Anolis sagrei: one gene and its partner. The protein of the gene in region 2 interacts with the protein of the main gene of each other region in a biochemical or structural test. Links are inferred from orthologs where the notes say so. Each region holds a gene or a part of one and is shown on either strand. Other genes may lie near its edges. The genes, in order: EPN1 and REPS2.

The links.
Region 1: the proteins of REPS2 (region 2) and EPN1 form a complex in vitro, tested with the Homo sapiens proteins (3 studies listed by BioGRID and IntAct, with this or other methods). The link is inferred for Anolis sagrei from reciprocal best matches to the Homo sapiens genes REPS2 and EPN1.

What each region holds. Positions count from the first base shown.
Region 1 is NC_090026.1:17,904,511-17,913,596, reverse strand, and holds the start of EPN1 (epsin-1), read right to left. Parts: upstream 4,132-9,086; 5' UTR 3,392-4,131; intron 1-3,391. UniProt on the Homo sapiens protein: Binds to membranes enriched in phosphatidylinositol 4,5-bisphosphate (PtdIns(4,5)P2). Modifies membrane curvature and facilitates the formation of clathrin-coated invaginations. Regulates receptor-mediated endocytosis.
Region 2 is NC_090023.1:90,115,546-90,125,374, forward strand, and holds the start of REPS2 (ralBP1-associated Eps domain-containing protein 2), read right to left. Parts: upstream 3,645-9,829; 5' UTR 3,397-3,644; coding exon 3,199-3,396; intron 1-3,198. UniProt on the Homo sapiens protein: Involved in ligand-dependent receptor mediated endocytosis of the EGF and insulin receptors as part of the Ral signaling pathway. By controlling growth factor receptors endocytosis may regulate cell survival.

The DNA of each region.
Region 1 (9,086 bases), on a different chromosome or scaffold from region 2:
GGAGCGATGGGTAGTAATTTGTCTTTTTCATGTCTGGAGCAACTTGAGAAACTGCAAGTCGCTTCTGGTGTGAGAGAATTGGCTGTCTGCAAGGACGTTGCCCAGAGGATGGCCGGATGTTTGATATTTTACCATCCTTGTGGGAGGCTTCTCTCATGTCCCCTTAATCATCACATACCCTCATGCAATACCATTCTCCTTTGTCATTCCTCTGTTTTCAAACGAAACTGACACTACAGCCAATTCATTTGGTTTTTACAGTACTGACTTTCTATCTTCTAAATGTATTTTAGATAGGTTTTGATTATTCATGTTTAGAGAGTTCTAGCTTTAATTCTACTTAAGTTTCAAATGGCACATTGAATTTTTACCACTGTTCAACACTTTTGAATCTAAGAGAGATTTTTTTTCACGTCAGGAAAGACTTGAGAAACTGCAAGTCGCTTCTGATGTGAGAGAATTGGCCATATGCTCTTGGTCCCACCAGCCTCACAAACGCGTCTGGTGGGGACGAGGGACAGGGCCTTCTCGATGGTGACCCGCCACTTGTGGAGCTCGGTCCTCAGCGAGATTAGATTGGCGTCCTCCTTCCTTTCCTTTAGGAAAGAGCTGAAATCGTGGTTGTGGAACCAGGCCATGGGCTAACAGACATAATGGCACTTGGACATTGAACTGGACCAGATGATTGTTATAACAATGGAAATGGCTATATGATTGTATAACTAATGTTATTTTTTAAAGTTTTATTGTATATTTATGATTTATATATTGTTGTTCATTGTGATATTGTGGCATCGAATTGTTGCCAGTGTTAGCAGTTCTGAGTCCCCCCTCGGGGGTTGAGAAGGGCAGGGTAGAAATGTTGTAAATAATAAAATAATAATAATAAATCTGCAAGGACATTGCCCAGAGAATTCCTGGATGTTTTGATGTTTTACCATCCTGTGGGGGGCTTCTCTCATGTCGCCGCATAGGGAGCTGGAGTTAACAGAGAGAGCTCAACCCGCTCTTCCCAGATTCAAACCACTGACCTGTAAGTCAGCAGTCCTGCCAGTACAAGGGTTTAACCCACTGTGCCACCAGGGGCTCCTGATCTATATAAATAAAAATGTAATGTTCATTTGTGGGATTAACAGAACTCAAAAACCAGTGGGCCAATTGACACCAAATTTGGACAGCATAGACCTAACAACCCAATGTATGTCCTTCACTCAAAAATGTTTGATTTTGTCATTTGGGAGTTGTAGTTGCTGGGATTTATAGTTCACCTACAATCAAAGAGCATTCTGAACTTCCCCAGTGATGGAATTGAACCAAACTTAGCACATAGAACTCCCATTACCAACAGGAAATACTGGAAGGGTTTGGTGGGCATTGACCTTGAGTTTGGGAGTTGTAGTTCACCTATGCAGTTCACCTATTGTAGCACTATGGACTCAAACAATGATGGAACTGGACCAAACTTGGCACAAATATTCCATATGCCCAAATATGAGCACAGATGGGAGTTTGGGGGAAATAGACCTTGACATTTGGGATTTGTAGTTACTGGGATTTATAGTTCACCTACAATCTAAGAGCATTCTGAACCCCACAAATGAAAGAATTGGGGCAAATGCAAAGATACAGAATTGGGGATGCCTGGCTTGAGAGCAGTACGTGTGAAAAAGATCTTGGAGTCCTCGTGGACAACAAGTTAAACATGAGCCAACAATGTGATGTCGCGGCAAAAAAAGCCAATGGGATTTTAGCCTGCATCAATAGGAGCATAGTGTCTAGATCTAGGGAAGTCATGCTACCCCTCTATTCCGCTTTGGTTAGACCACACCTGGAATATTGTGTCCAATTCTGGGCACCACAATTCAAGAGAGATATTGACAAGCTGGAATGTGTCCAGAGGAGGGCGACTAAAATGATCAAGGGTCTGGAGAACAAGCCCTATGAGGAGCAGCTTAAGGAGCTGGGCATGTTTAGCCTGGAGAAGAGAAGGCTGAGAGGAGACATGATAGCCATGTATAAATATGTGAGAGGAAGCCACAGGGAGGAAGGAGCAAGCTTGTTTTCTGCTTCCTTGGAGACTAGGACACGAAACAATGGCTTCAAACTACAAGAAAGGAGATTCCATCTGAACATGACGAAGAACTTCCTGACTGTGAGAGCCGTTCAGCAGTGGAACTCTCTGCCCCGGAGTGTGGTGGAGGCTCCTTCTTTGGAAGCTTTTAAACAGAGGCTGGATGGCCATCTGTCAGGGGTGATTTGAATGCAATATTCCTGCTTCTTGGCAGGGGGTTGGACTGGATGGCCCATGAGGTCTTTTCCAACTCTTTGATTCTATGATTCTATGAAATTTCCCACACAGAACCCCCATGACCAACAGAAAATACTTAAGGCCATCCAGTCCAACTCTCTTCACCAGGGCAAGAAAATGTAGTCAAAGCCCTCCTGACAAAGAGCCATAAAGAAATTACATATATTAGAATTTATTTATTTATTTCTGTTGCTTCTACCCCGCCCTTCTCACCGGGGGGGGGGGGGGGGGACACTCAGGGCGGCTTACAAAAGCAAGGCACAATTCGATGCCCGCATCACATAACAGCAAAAGACAATAATATCAGTTAACAGAAACAGCAATCCTGGCAATAACAACAATTAACAGAAAACAATAGTTATTATAGGCAAAAACAACCATAAAACCAATAAAAGCAATAAAACCAATACAAACCTCATTGACGGTCAGCGTTTCACAATCTCATAGTTCAAATTCCAATTCCACAATTGTCAGTCCTATCAGTCCTATCCATCTGGCTGTCCATATCTAATTGTCAGATTGCCCAAAGGCCTGGTCCCACAACCACGTCTTTACCTTCCTCCTGAAGAAGAGGAGGGATGTTGATGCCCTAATTTCCCCCGGGAGTGAGTTCCACAGGTGAGGGGCCACCACTGAGAAGGCCCTGCTCCTCGCCCCCACCAGCCCCACCAGCCTCACTTGGGATAGCGGTGGGGTAGAGAGCAGGGCCTCCCCAGATGATCTCAAATTCCGGGGTGGGACGTAGAGGGAGATACGTTCGGACAGATAGACTGGACCGGAACCGTAAAGGGTTTTGTAGGTCAAAACCAGCACCCTGAATTGTGCTCGGAATTGAACCGGCAGTAATGAGAAACCAACACTTTCTCATTAATTTATTTTCCAGATCACCAGACTGGGCCACAGCAACGCGGGGCAGGGGACGGCTAGTAGTAAATAAAATGTATTACTATTTCCCAGATTGTGGTCATTTCTTGTTATGTTCACACAGCAGAGTAATGTGTCGCAACACACAGCTTGGAAAGCTCCGGCCTGTGGTATGATTCCCTCCCACATCTTTCCCCATTCGTTTCAAACCCCACTCACCTGGATAATGGGATCTCGGTGCCCCTTTTCTGGCAGGGTGGCCTCCTCTCTTCTGCCTCAGCCTCCCTGCTTCCCCCAACCAGGGGGCATCGCCAGAGCTTCTTGGGGAAAAGCGTGGGAATCTTGGCAAAACGAATAGGGCACGGCTAGGCCTTGATGAGGATGTGGAACTGCTAAAAGATATTCAGGAGTGGAATCTGGGAGAGAAACCAGAAGGATAGAGGGATCCAATATGTCTTTGAGGGGGATGAAGAGGAAAGGAAATTAAGGGCCAATAAGACATTCAGGGGAGAGAAAACAGAGGGGTGATAGGTTGCCTTGGAAAGGAATTAAGGGCATGGAAGGGGGAGAGGCTGAGTTCAAAGGTGGCAGGAATCATAGAATCAAAAGAGAGACTGGGAAGTCAGAGGTCGCTCCAGGGTGAGGCCTTAAGGGCAAAGGTCAGGGAAAGAAGAGGATTCCAGGCGGAGAAGGCAAGCAGCAGGCGAGAGGAGAGGCGAGTCCCGCTCCGTCCCTTCAGGGGAGCCTCGGCCTTGAGGAGAACTCCGCCCCGGCCTTCTCCGTCGCCTTGGCAATGCGGGGGCAGGAAGAGAAGGGGGGGGGGCTCTCGGTACAGGAAGCGCCGCTCTGCCCGCCCTCACTCTATGGCCTTCCCGGAGGGTAGCGGAGGCGGCTGGATGCGGCGGTCGCGCCGGCAGAGCTTTCCCCGCAGGACGGAACCGGAAGCCAGAGGCGCCCGCAACTTCCGCCTCCAGGTTGCGCCCATTTCCGCCCGCACCCTTCTCGGGGCGACCGCTCTGTTCGGCCATAGAGAGAAAAAGAGAGAGGTCGTCTTGAGAGCGGTGGCTGCCCTCCTATTGCGTTTCGGACTCCAGCTCCCAGAGTTCCTGGTACTTGCCAAAAGGGCTGGGGCTTCTGGGAGTTGAAGTCCTCAAACGCTGAAGGGTGGAAGGAGCCACTGTTAAAGGGGAATGGTGATGGAATCAAAGAAGTGAGGAGGAAAATGAGAGGAACAGAAAGGAGGCGGATCATCTAGATCAGGCATAGAATCAAAGAGTTGGAAGAGACCTCATGGGCCATCCAGTCCAACCCCCTGCCAAGAAGCAGGAATATTGCATTCAAATCACCCCTGACAGATGGCCATCCAGCCTCTGTTGAAAAGCTTCTAAAGAAGGAGCCTCCACCACACTCCGAGGCAGAGAGTTCCACTGCTGAACGGCTCCCACAGTCAGGAAGTTCTTCCTCATGTTCAGATGGAATCTCTTTTCAAGTTGGAAGAGACCTCATGGGCCATCCAGTCCAACCCCATTCTGCCAAGAAGCAGGAATATTGCATTCAAATCATCCCTGACAGATGGCCATCCAGCCTCTGTTTCAAAGCTTCCAAAGAAGGAGCCTCCACCACACTCCGGGGCAGAGAGTTCCACTGCTGAACGGCTCTCACAGTCAGGAAGTTCTTCCTCATGTTCATGGGCAAGCTTGGGCCCTCCAGGTGTTTTGGACTTCAACTCCCACAATTCCTAAGAGCTTTCATTGCACCACTGCTGCAGGACGATGATTTGTACTACTACTACTACTATTATGATTATTGGGTTGTTGTAGGTTTTTGCAGACTATATGGCCATGTTCTAGAGGCATTTTCTCCTGACGTTTCGCCTGCATCTATGGCAAGCATCCTCAAAGGTAGTGAGGTGAACCAAAAAACTGCCAGGCCATCAAATTGCTAATCAAGGTGGTCAGTTGAAACATTCACACCTAGCTCCAGCAGACAATAGTCCTTTGTCCCATCCTGGTCATTCCACAGATATTTGTTGTTGTTCATTCAGTCGTCTCCGACTCTTCGTGACCTCACGGACCAGCCCACGCCAGAGCTCCCTGTCGGCCGTCACCACACCCAGCTCCTTCAAGGTCAGTCCAGTCACTTCAAGGATGCCATCCATCTATCTTGCCCTTGGTCAGCCCCTCTTCCTTTTACCTTCCACTTTCCCCAGCATAATTGTCTTCTCTAGGCTTTGCTGTCTCCTCATGATGTGGCTTCAACTTTGTCTCTAGTCTCCTTCCTTCCAATGAGCAGTCAGGCCCTATTTCCTGGAGCATGGACTGGTTGGATCTTCTCGCAGTCCAAGGCACTCTCAGAACTTTCCTCCAACACCACAGCTCAAAAGCATCGATCTTCCTTCGCTCAGCCTTCCCTAAGGTCCAGCTCTCACATCCGTAGGTGACTACAGGGAATACTATGGCTTTGACTAGGCAGATCTTTGTTGCCAGTGTGATGTCTCTACTCTTTACTATTTTATCGAGAATGGACATTGCTCTCCTCCCAAGAAGTAAGCGTCTTCTGATTTCCTGGCCACAGTCTGCATCTGCAGTAATCTTTGCACCTAGAAATACAGTCTGTCACGGCCTCCACGTTTTCTCCCTCTATTTTCCAGTTGTCAATCATTATTGTTGCCATAATCTTGGTTTTTTTGATGTTTAGATCCTTTCCACAGATATATAAACCCAATTTTCCTAGTTCCAACAGACTGGATGCTTGCCATAGATGCAGGCAAAATGTCAGGAGAAAATGCCTCTAGAACATGGTCATATAGCCCGAAAAAACCTACAACAACCCAGTGATTCCGGCCATGAAAGCCTTCGACAATACATTATGATTATTGTTTTACTGACACAAAAACACTATGAAACAGCAAACGAGATATATATGCTGGATTTCGTATCACAAAATCACAAGTCGAACACTTCCCAAGCATTTATTATTGTTGTTTTTGTTATTATTATTATGATTATTTGATGCATAACAAGATTAGTATACAGCAAACAAGATCACTATGCTGGCTTTTGTATTTCATAGAATCATAGAGTTAGAAGAGACCTCATGGGCCATTCAGTCCAACCCCCTGCCAAGAAGCAGGAATATTGCATTCAAAGCACCCCTGACAGATGGCCATCCAGCCTCTGTTTAAAACCTTCCAAAGAAGGAGCCTCCACCACCCTCCGGGGCAGAAAGTTCCACTGTTGAACGGCTCTCAGAGTCAGGAAGTTTTTCCTTATGTTCAGATGGAATCTCCTTTCTTGTAGTTTGAAGCCATTGTTCCGCATACTAGTCTCCAAGACAGCAGAAAACAAGCTTACTCCCTCCTCCCTGTGACTTCCTTTCACATATTTATACATGGCTATGACATCTCCTCTCAGCCTTCTCTTCTTCAGGCTAAACATGCCCAGCTCCTTAAGACGCTCCTCACAGGGCTTGTTTTCCAGACGCTTGATCATTTTAGTCACCCTCCTCTGGACGCATTCCAGCTTGTCAATATCTCTTGAATTGTGGTGCCCAGAATTGGACGCAATATTCCAGGTGTGGACTAACCAAGGCAGAATAGAGGGGTAGCATGACTTCCCTAGATCTAGACACTACACTCCTATTGATGCAGGCCAAAATCCCTTTGGCCTTTTTTGCCGCCACATCACATTGTTGGCTATTTGATCAGGTCAACAACATCCCTCCTCACCTTTAGGAGGAAATTGAAAACCTGATTATGGGAGCAGGCCTTTGGGCAACTGGCAGATAATTGACAATGGTAATAATGTTATGGAAAATGGACTATGGACAGGCTCTCGATTGTTTCGTGCTTTTCATTAATTTATTTTAAAACTAATTTACTGTGTTTTCATATATATTACACAATCATGAGGTCAGGGGTATTGTGCTCCAAAACTCAGTCTGAATTTGGAAGTCTCCGAGTAATTTGACATGTTCATTTTCTGTAACCTTTTCAGGCTTGCGATCCCACCAGTTCATTGTCACAGGTAGATGGTACAGTATTTGTGACACAAGTTCCAATGGATCATCTGAGCAACATGTTATACCTTTTCCAGAGGTGTGCATCAGTGATGTACAGATTCTGTAGCCACCTGAATGTTTTGGGAATCTCAAAATGAATTAGTGCTGTAAGAGACTTGTTATTTTACCTCAATCTATCTTACTGCATTGCAGTGAGGTCAAAATTGGGAAAGGAGCAAAAAGGGAACCATGTGTTCTGAACTTAATTTTGAGGAATATGTAATAAATACATCACACAACCCAAAGTATTTTCTGTTAATGAAAGTAAAGGATTTTCTGTCCAGACAAGCTGATAGCTAGCTCAGTGTTTATTTCATGGCTTTAGGAACTTTAATACTGTAACTTGACTGTAATGTTACTTCAAAGGCAATAGTCTTATATGGAGAAAAATCCCCATAAGTAATATAATTTACTGGTTTCCAGCCAGCTCTCCATTCTGAATTCTTGTTTTTGATCCCCCCGCCATAAACATATAATCTGTGGAAATACTTCATTTCAAGCACAATTAAAGCAATAGCCTCACATGGCTTTCCTTGTAGCAGAAAGACTTACTTTGGTAACTGTAAAATCCATTGAGCTGAATTTGCCCACTGAAAATTTTAGTATCTTTGTCATGTACATAAAAAATATACTTAGAAGACAAGGGACTTTCCCATAGCCCTGCATCCATTATGTGTATGCCTAAAAGAAAGTCTAAGTTGAGGTAAGGCACTAAAAAGCAAAAATAGCAGCGACATAAATTCCATTAACAACTTAAAACAGGCTTGCGTATTTTGGAGCTAATGTGCGTTACTTCAGGATGATAATGTTAGACATAACCATTTTTGAACACTCTCCTTCAAGCTGTTTGAAAGATATCCTACTTTCTAGCTTTACTCAGACAGCTTCCATGTATTCTGGAGATATATTAAAAGCTTTTAGACCAGCTCTTTCTGGGCCAAGTGTCAAGTTTTAGGCTGCAATCCTACATATATTTACTTAGCATTATACCTCATTAATCACAATAGGCCTTAAAATGCAAGTAAATGCACCCAGAATCAAGCTACAAGATAAATTCTTCAAAGATCATCACCCTTAGACAAGGCAGCGTTTTTTTTTTTAATCCCCAAGCAAATTATACTGGTAGGACTTCATGTACTTTGGTAAAGAAGTTGGGATTCAGTAGTAAAGGAACCAAAAATTCTGCAAGGAAAGATGAATTATGCAAACCAAATCCAAATTGCTGTTAGCAAAGGCAAAGACACCAGCCAGGATTTGAGAAAGGAGTGGCAGTAAATGGGAAGACATCAAAGTTGACAGCAGTGGCCTTAGGAACAATGTTTTATTTTGGGACAGCCAACTTTCTACACCAGTGCTACACCACCTTTCTATGCCAGTGTGGATGATGGGCAGTTGTTTTGTCATCCATAGTGCCAGACTGGTACCACAATTGTGGCTATTAGTTAAAGTTATTCCTTTATTTTCTGGAAAGGAATAGCCGCTGGTGGCTCACAAACTGGCACTGTTTCAGAGATCACTCTGGAGATCTCCCTGAAAGGCAGCTCAGGAACATTAGTCACTTTCTCCTAATCATTATTAGAACGGGTAGAAGGTGCAAGTAATAGCAAAACAAACTATTATGTTAGTGCAGTGCGCCAACAGAATTCTGGCCTAAATAAACAAGGCAAAGCAATTGATGGTTGTAATATGCATAGGTTTCTGCTGTTGCTGCTCTAGTCATGGATAAGGGCCAGTACTGCCACGTGAATGCTACAATTCTTTTTTGCACAATTTTCTAGGGTTCTATGTTGTGGTATGATTTGCCCCCAGTTTTGAGCATGCCTTTGAAGCTACAATGGGTGATACAATATAATTC
Region 2 (9,829 bases):
AGAAGTTATGCAGGATGTAAAGCTGTCGTAAAGCATATAGGTTTGCAAATTTACAACCTCAAAACTTGTTTCTATAACTGAAAGAGATATGATTCTAACTTTTAGTTTAGAGATCAGTGTTTCAAACAAGGGTCTAGGAATTCTCCATAACCATTAAATAGAATGCATGAAACTTCCTAAGTTATGCATTCCAAGAGAAGAGCATGGACAATTTCTAACAGAAAAAACCCCCAACCACCTTTCTTTGCTGCCACTGTAGTAGGAAATGTTAGTGTTATAGGTTGGACACCCCTCACCCAGATTTCTGAAATCCAAATTCCCCCAAAATCCAAAATTGTACACATGGGTGGCTGAGATAGTGGCACTTTAGTATTCTGATGGATCAAGGAACCCCAGTGGCGCAATAGGTTAAACCCTTGTGCCCACAACATTGAATCCGGGGAGTGGGGTGAGCTCCCATCTGTCAACTCCAGCTTCCCATGTGGGGACATGAGAGAAGCCTCCCACAGAATGGTAAAACATCAATCATCCGGGCATCCCCTGGGCAATGTCCTTGCAGACAGCCAATTCTCTCACACCAGAAGTGACTTTGCAGTATATTCTCAATTTGCTTCTGACACGATTAAAACTATGTACACAAACCTGATTTCATGCACAAAATTATTTAAAGTACAGTATAAAATTACATTCAGGCAACATGTCTAGGCTATATTTGAAGCATAAATTAGTTTCGTATTTAGACTTGGGTTCCACTGCCTAGCTATTTCATTATGCGTGTAATCGTATATGCAAATACAGGGATTCCAAAATCCAGTAAAACCTGAAATCAAAATACTTCAGGTCCGAAGCACTTTAGAGAAGGGAGATTCAACCTGAATAGATATATTTATTTCAAAATCCGAAACCCAAACACTCCTAGTCTCATGTATTTAGGAGAAGGAGGACTCAGGGACCAATATAACCCAACAACAATATAACCCAGAATATCAAAGCAGAAAATCCCACATTATCTAAGTGTGGATTCAGATAACCCAGTTCAAAGCAGATATTGTGGGATTTCCTGCCTTGATATACTAGGATATAGGGCTGTGTGGAAGGGCCCTGAGTCCACATAACCATATATCCCAGTTCAAAGCAGAAAATATAGGGTTTATTCAGCTGTATGGGAGGGCACTCAATCTGTATGGCTATATACTCCAAAATCGGAAATCCAAAACACGTAGGGAAAAGAGAGACTCAACCAGAACATATTCCAAAAATGTGAATCCAAAACACCTTCTAGTCCCAAACATTTTGGAGAAGGGAGACTCAACTTGTAGATGTATATATTCCAAAATCCAAAACACTTCTGATTACAAGCATTTCAGAACAGGGAAACACAACTTGAATACATATATTCTAACATCCAAGATGCTTCAGGTCCAAATTATTTCAGAGATGGGAGACTCTGCCTCAGGCCTGGGCAAACTTGGGCCCTCTGGGTGTTTTGAACTTCAACTCCCACCATTCCTAACAACCTCAGGCCCTTTCCTTTCCCCCCTCAGCTGCTTAAGTGGCCGAGGGGGGAAAGGAAGGGGCCTGAGGCTGTTAGGAATGGTGGGAGTTGAAGTCCAAACACCCGGAGGGCCCAAGTTTGCCCAGGCCTGCTCTACCTTTATTGATGTTCAAAAGGTAATGAATCCCCTTTTCAAAAGAGAAAACACTCAAGGGAAGGAAAAAGGCTTTCAGAACATAGAGGGAATTCATCCAGCTTATTTATTTTCATCCAAATCTCAATTGGAGCTACTTTTTCTGTCCAAAGAGAACTCATTTAGGGCCCTTCCACGCAGCCCTATATCCTACAATATCAAGGCAGAAAATCCCACAATATCTGGTTTGAGCTGGGTTATCTGAATCCACACTCAAATAATGTGGGATTTTTCTGCCTTGATATTCTGGGATATAGGGCGGTGTGGAATGGCCCTTAGAAGGTGCCTCTCTATACACTAATGCAGTTTGACACTCCTTTCACTGCTATGGCTCAAACCTGCAGGAATCGTGGAAGTTGCAGTTGAGTGAGGGAACTCCAAGGATTCCAGAGCATTGAGCCATAGAGGTCCAAGCACCCTTCCACACAGCCCTATATCCCAGAATATCAAGACAGAAAATACCATAATATGCTTTGAACTGGGTTATCTGAGTCCACACTCAGATAATGTGGGATTTTCTGCCTTGATGTTCTGGGATACAGGGCTGTGTGGAAGGGCCCCATGTGGTACTAAGAGCCCCCGGTGGTGCAGTGGGTTAAAACCCTTGTGCAGGCAGGACTGAAGACCGAAAGGTCGCAGGTTCGAATCTGGGGAGAATGTGGATGAGCTCCCTCTGCCAACTCCAGCTCCCCATTTGGGGACATGAGAGAAGCCTCCCACAAAGATGGTAAAACATCTGGGCGTCCCCTGGGTAATGTCCTTGCAGACAGCCAATTCTCTCACACCAGAAGCGAATTGCAGTTCGTCAAGTGCTTGTCCATTATGCCCTGCCTCATGTACATAGGATGAATTGTTGGAGGCTACAGACAATGCCGTTGCTGTTGCCCGTTTTTGGTCAAAAGACATTTAGATGCCTGCACACTTTCTATTTTATCTGTTTCATACTAATTCATGCAATACGATACGAAATAAATAAATAAAGTGGCACCTGGCATGAAAAACAATTCTACAGTTTATTTATTTATTTATTTGTCACAATTTTCTCCCGCCCTTTTCAGCCCAAAGACGACTCAGGGCGGCGTACAGACTGGCAACAATTAGATGCCGAACACACATAAATACACCATTTAAAACAGGTTAAATCACGTAATAAAATTAATTTTAAAACAATTTAAAACTATTAGAATCAATGACTTCTGGGTTGAAATCCATGTCCATTTGCATCGTTAAGCCGTTCCATATTCGTTCACAATACTGGGTTTATCTGGTGTAGAACAGGCATGGGCAAACTTCAGCCCTCCCTCCAGGTGTTTTGGACTTCAACTCCCACCATCCCTAAGAGCCTCGCTTAAGGGTCTGAGGGGGGAAAGGAAGGGCCTGAGGCTGTTAGGGATGGTGGAAGTCCAAAGCACCTGGAGGGAAGGCTAACATGCGCCCATGCCTGGTGTGGATGCCCTGGGGGGGGGGGGGGGGTGCGCTCTGCACATGTCCAGGAGCACTCTTGCCTCACCTGGAGGAGGGCCTCGGGAGGGAGCTGCGACGCCCGGAACAGCTCGGCCACCTTGCTGCCGGAGGCGCCTGCCTCGGAGCCCGCGGCGTTCCCGCTGCCGCCTCCGCCGCAAAGGCAGAAGAGCTCCGCGTAGCGCTGCTGCTGCTGCTGCTCCCCGGAGGAGGAGGAGGAGGAGGAGGAGGAGGAGGGGGCCTCCATTGCAGGGGCAACGGCGCCCCCAAGTCCTGCCCAAGAGGCTCCGCCGCCGCCGCCGCCTCTGCAGCCGCGCTCGCCTCCTCTCCCTCCGCTGTCCTCCCTTTCTGCGGCAAAAACAGCGGGAGGGAGGCGGCAAGGCAGCAGCAGCAGCTGCAGGAAGAGAGAAGGAGAAGAGGAAGAGGAGGAAAAGGGGGAAGGAAGGAAGGAAGGAAGGAGGAGGGGAAGGAGGCTCCCTTCCCCGAGGCACGTGCCTCCACTTCCTCCTCCTCCTCCTCCTCCTCCTCCTCCTCCTCTTCTCCCACTTCGTCCTCCCTGGACTCCGCAGAGGAAGGCTCAAGTTTTGGAGCAGGGAAGCTTGCGTGGCTCAAAGGCTAGGGCAGGGTCTTCCACCCTTCCTCATGTTGTGGTGACCCCCCCCCCCCCAACCATCCGTAATAACATTATTTTGGTTGCTCCTTCATAACTCATTTTGCTACTGTTAGGAATCCTTATGTAAATAGCTGATCTGCAGGATGGATTTTCATAAACTAATATGCTTCCTCCTGTTGTGGTGATCCCCAACCACAACATTATTTTCCTTGCTATTTCATAACACTAATTTTGCTACTTTGATATGAATTGTAATGTAAATATCTGATATGCAGGATGGATTTTCATTTGCTGGACCAAACTGGGCACAAATACCCGATACGTCCACATTTGAATACTGGTGGGATGGGGGGGGGGGGAGGATTGATTTTGTCCTTTGGAAGTTGTAGTTGCTGGGAATTATAGTTCACCTACAATCAAAGAGCATTCTGAACACCAACAATGGAATTGAACCAAACTTGGCACGCAGAACTCTCTTGACCAACAGAAAATACTGGAAGGGCTTGGTGAGCATTGAGCTTGAGTTTTGGAGTTGTAGTTCACCTACAAGGAGCCCCCAGTGGTGCAGTGGGTTAAACCCCTGTGCTGGCAGGACTGAAGACCGACAGGTCGCAGGTTCGAATCTGGGGAGAGCGCAGATGAGCTCCCTCTATCAGCTCTAGCTCTTCATGCGGGGACATGAGAGCAGTCTCCCACAAGGATGGTAAAAACATCAAAACATCCGGCATCCCCTGGGCAATGGCTAATTCTTTCACACCAGAAACGACTTGCACTTTCTCAAGTCGCTCCTGACACGACAAAAAAAAAAAGTTCACCTACACACTGTATAATCCAACAATGATGGATCTGGACCAAACTTGACACAAATACTCAATAATATGCCCAAATCTGAACACTGATGGAGTTTGGAGGAAATAGACCTTGCCATTTGGGAGCTGTAATTGCTGGGATTTATAGTTCACCTACAATCAAAGAGCATTCTGAACCCCACCAATAATGGAATTGAAACAAACTTGGCACTCAGAACTCCCTTGACCAACAGAAAATACTGGAAGGGTTTGCTGGGCATTGAGCTTGAGTTCTGGAGTTGTAGTTCACCTACATCCAGAAAACACTGTGGACTCCAGCAATGATGGACCAAACTTGGCACAAATACTCAATATGCCCAAATGTGAACAATGGTCGAGTTTGCTGTAAATAGATCTTAACATTTGGGAGTTGTAGTTGCTGGGATTTATAGTTCACCTACAGTCAAAGAGCATTCTGAATCCTACCAACGATAGCATTGAGTTAAACTTCCCACACAGAATCCCCATGTCTTGAAGGGACTCACTGGTGTGAGCCTCCCTCCAGCCTCACACGCTCTCCCTCATCCACACATGTGCACCAAGCTGCCATTGAGAATGTCTGCTGTTCCCTCCCCACTTGGAGTCTTAGTAACAGCCCTCCCCTTGGCTGAGAGGCCTTGAAGGGACACACTGGCACAAGCCTCCCTCCAGACTCACATGCTCCATTGCCTGCATATGTGTGCCACACAGCCATGCACCAGGCACGCCTGCTCTCCCCTCCCCCCCCCCCTTGGAGTCTCAGAAACAGCCCTCTCCTTGACTAAGAGGCTGCCTGAGAGGCCAGCCAATCACAGGGGAGGAGAGTTTTTGGTGGGAGGATTTGCCATCTGTTTTCCAAAAAGGAAGAGAAGGACACTGGAGAGATCTTCATCTTTCACTGCCAAAAGGGTTCCTAAGGCCATCAGAAATATATGTTTTATGATGGTCTTTGGTGATCCCTCTGAAACCCCCTTGGGACCCCTAGGTTGAGAAACGCTGGGCTGGGGAATCCTGAGAAGGCGAAAAGACGGGTGCATCTGCACTCTAGAATGAAGACAGCTTGATAGCACTTTTAACTTCTATGGCTCCCCATGGAGACCCAAGAGTTGCAGCTTTGGTGGGGCGCTATGTGGCAGGAAAGGCTAAAGAGTTGGTTAAATGACAGCTCCCACAATTTAGTTGTATTGAGCCATGCTAGTTTGGCATCAAAGTGCAGTAATTCTACAATCTAGATGCAGCACGTTTGTTCCGGCAAACTTGGGCCCTCTAGGTGTTTTGGACTCCAATTCCCACAATTCCTAATAGCCCCAGGTGATATAGTATTATCTAAAGCAGTAGTTCTCAACCCGTGGGTCCCCAGGTATTTTGGCTTACAACTCCCAGAAATCCCAGTCAGTTTACCAGCTGTTGGGGATTTTTGGGAGTTGAAGGCCAAAACATCTGGGGATCCACAGGTTGAGAACCACTGGTATAGACTGAGGGAATCCCTTTCCCCTGGCTCCTGAATGACAGATGGAATGTGTCTATTGGTTATCTTCTCCCTCTTTCTGCTCTCATTCTGATTGGCTATGTAGAATGGATACTTTACAGGTGCATGCCTTTGTTTCATACTTCTGCTTTTTTACATCTGTGTATTGACACCTTTCTCTGCTTGGGTGTGTCAGGAGAGATGTAGTACTTGGAGATTTCCCCCTCTCTTGTGAACCCTAGAAAAGATGGAGTGGCTGAGACCCAGTTATTTACTATTAAAAATGTAGTTATTATTTTTGTAAATAAAACTTGTGTAACTTTAAAAATTGAACTCTGCAACTTTGAATCCTAAACACTAAATTCTTTTCTGACTACAACACTTCACACTCTGTCTGCTGTGAGCTGAATGCTCAAACTATAAGTATCATGTTTGTAGTTTTGAATGCTCTGCTGTATTTTTGGGAGTTGTCCCTAACAACTAGAAGGCACATACATTATGACCCACCATCTATGCAGGGGATATGTTCCTAGACTTCATTTCAATACATGAAACTGTGGATATTAACAAACGCCATTGTTTTTAATGGGACGAATGAAGGTTATACTGAGAAGAGGGTGTAGCTTGTATAGGAGCTCAAAGAGGGTCTGTGATTCTAAGTTAATAATGGAATGATAGGTTCTGAAAATATGGTGTTGTACATACACACAGAGAGAGAGATTTCAGAAATCTGGCATGAGGCATGCACCAAACCCATTATAGTACAGTATCCATGGGGGATATGTTCCCAGTGTGTATGGATATGCAAAACAGCAGATAATAGCAAACCCTATTAAAATAAAGGACTCAAGAATACTATAGAGTCGTAGGACCTAGAAAATGTCTAGAATTTACATTTTCTTGCACAGTGATCCAACAGATATGAAGGTCATACTGTCTTTGCTTTAGATCAACCTGTTTGGAAGGTTATTCAATTCACACACAAATCTACATCTCAATTTGGAAATCCAAAGAAATGGATTTAGACACAAGAAATGGGTGTAATTTTTTTTTTCTTCGTGGTCTCTGCGAATTCACACTTGTGGAGAGACTGCGCCTGCGCGGGCTCCAACGGAAACTTCTACATTTTAAAACTTTCAAGTTTTGGCGGTAACCCCGCCCAGCCCCGGCAGGGGATAAAAGGGCGCCCCGCGCACACCGATCCAATTCCTGTTTTTCCGCCGCACGGCTCGCTTCGGAACTTCGTTGGATAGAGATTCTCAGATTTCTTCGAGTTGTTTGACTATATTATGTCAACAACTCGCTTTAAAAGATGTGTGAATTGCCCGAGGAAGATTCCTGATTCGGACAAGCACACTCTTTGTCTTTTGTGTCTCGGCGAGGCACATATCACTTCTTCGTGTCGTCATTGTCAATCTTTGACGGCACAGTCCCGAAAAAATCGGGTCCATCGGCTTCGATACCTGCTCTACCAGCAGACGTTGGCTCCGGTACCTTCAACATCGACATCGGCGTCGACGTCGGCCGCGGTATCCAGGCCTTCAACTTCGACTTCGGGCTCGAAGTCGAAGGTAGCATCGACATCAAAATCTGTCGATCCCTCGGCGGACGCCGAGCCCCGCCAGACCAGGGAGAAGAAGGCTGCGCAAAAGAGGCCGAGAGCAGCTATGTCGACAACCTCCAAGGCCTCGGTGTCGGTAGCTTCTAAGGCGGCAAAGCCTACAAAGCAGAAGGCTCCATGCACAGTCACAACCGAGACTGTACGCATCCGGCACTCTTCGGCCAGCTCTGTGGCATCAGTGAGATCGATCAGGTCCACGAGGTCGACATCAGCGACTCCGCCATCTTCCACGGCGGTTCGCATTGCCTTTCGCCGGTCTCAAGAGGAGTCTCGGCGTGCTTCCTCTTCCTCCTCCGTCCCACCCACTCCGGGCAAGTCGGTGTCGAAGACGGCTCAACCACCGGCCAAGAAGAAGAAGACGATGCCGCCTCCATCCTCGTCTTCTTCTTCTTCCCGAAAACAGACCACCGCCTCCTCGGCCACCTCGTCGGCGAGATCGTCGCCCGTGCGACCGGTTGCTTCCCAACCGACCCCTCAGCCTACCCAGGAGCCGCAGCCGCTACCAGAACTGCCGTCAGAACAGCCTGACTCCCCGGTGATCTCGGTGGACACGGTGATCGAGGCACCAACTCGACATGTGACAGCCAGACAGGAGCTTTTCCCATCGGTCACGACTTTGACAACTGTGACGGCAAGACAGGAGACTTCTCCAGTGCTGGAGACTCCGGAAAGGGGCAGACAGACTATGAGACTGGCCTTGGCCCGTGCCACTCAGGCTTCGGCCTCAAAAGCCCCTCCAGCGATCCTGGTCCAGCATTCGAGTCGGGATGTCTCTTCATCCCCTCCCCCTCAATCCCTGGTGGCTGATGATGAGGAAGAAGATGGCGAGTTGCCGGGATCGGTACACTCGGGGTCTGTGTTGTCTCTCGGGATCGAGAGATCACCCACTCACGACGCCTATGAGGCTGACCCTCCTTCTCCCACTGACAATGTCCGAGCCTTTGCAGATCAAATGGCTCGTATGGCTGATGCCTTAGGCCTTGAGGTCAAGCAGACTTCCAAGGCAGTGCAAGACCCAGTGTTTAAAAGGGTGCAAGCTGAAACCCCACCCGCTCCTCTGCTGCCCTTCCTTCCATATCTCCTCGAGGTGATCCAGGGCTCCTGGAAGACCCCTTCTTCCATCCCTCCAACCTCCAAGAAAATCGAATCCTGGTACAGGACGGACGATGAGGGATTGGAGTGGCTGAAACACCATCCCGACCCTAACTCGGTGGTCATGAAAGCAGCCCAGGGATTCGGAAGGCAGTCGTCGGCGCCGTCCGACCGTGAGGGCAAAAGGTTCGATGCGGTGGGCAGAAAACTGTACTCCGGTGCCCTCCTGCTGGCCCGCATGGCAAATTATGGCGCTTGCATGGGCGCATACCAACAGATTCTTTGGGAGAAGGCAACACCACTCTTCCAAAGAATGTCTGAGGAGGACCGTTCTGCCCTCTCCACTTTGGCTCAGGAGGCGAACTCTCTGGCGCATCACCAGATGCAAATGGCCAAACACACGGGAGACACCGCGGGCAAGATGATTGCTCACGCTGTGGCAATCAGAAGGCATGCATGGCTCAGATCTTCGGGCCTCTCTACATCATCGAGGCAGGTGATCGAAGACCTCCCGTTCGACGCCCTGGGGCTCTTCAATGCGGGAACGGACGACAAACTGAAGTCAAATCACGACTTCAAGACCTTGGCCTCCAAGTGTGGGATCGAGAATCAAGGCCAGGCGCAGAGGACCAGATGGTTCCAGTACAAGCGCCGACACACGGTCGCGTACCGCACCATTCAATACCGTCAGCCAGCCCGCCCTCTGCACACCTCCCAGCAAACCCACCCTCAGCAACCCCAGCAGCAAAGGGGGCAACACCAGCAGCAGCAACGCTCGCGATCCCGTCAGGCCTCTGGGGGCAACCAAGCTAGGCGCCGCATTTGACGCCCTAATGGACGATACCGTTTGCTCTTCCGTTACCGATGTTGTTCCCATGTCCCTCCCGATGGTACCCGCCCTCTTCCTTCCATCCGGCTCGACACCGTTCGGAGATTGCCTGACAAACTTTCTCCCTGCATGGGAAAATATCAACTCAGATGCATGGGTTTTAAAGATTGTCGACGAAGGCTATGCATTGGAGTTCGAAGAACTCCCACCAACAGGACAGATTGTCGATA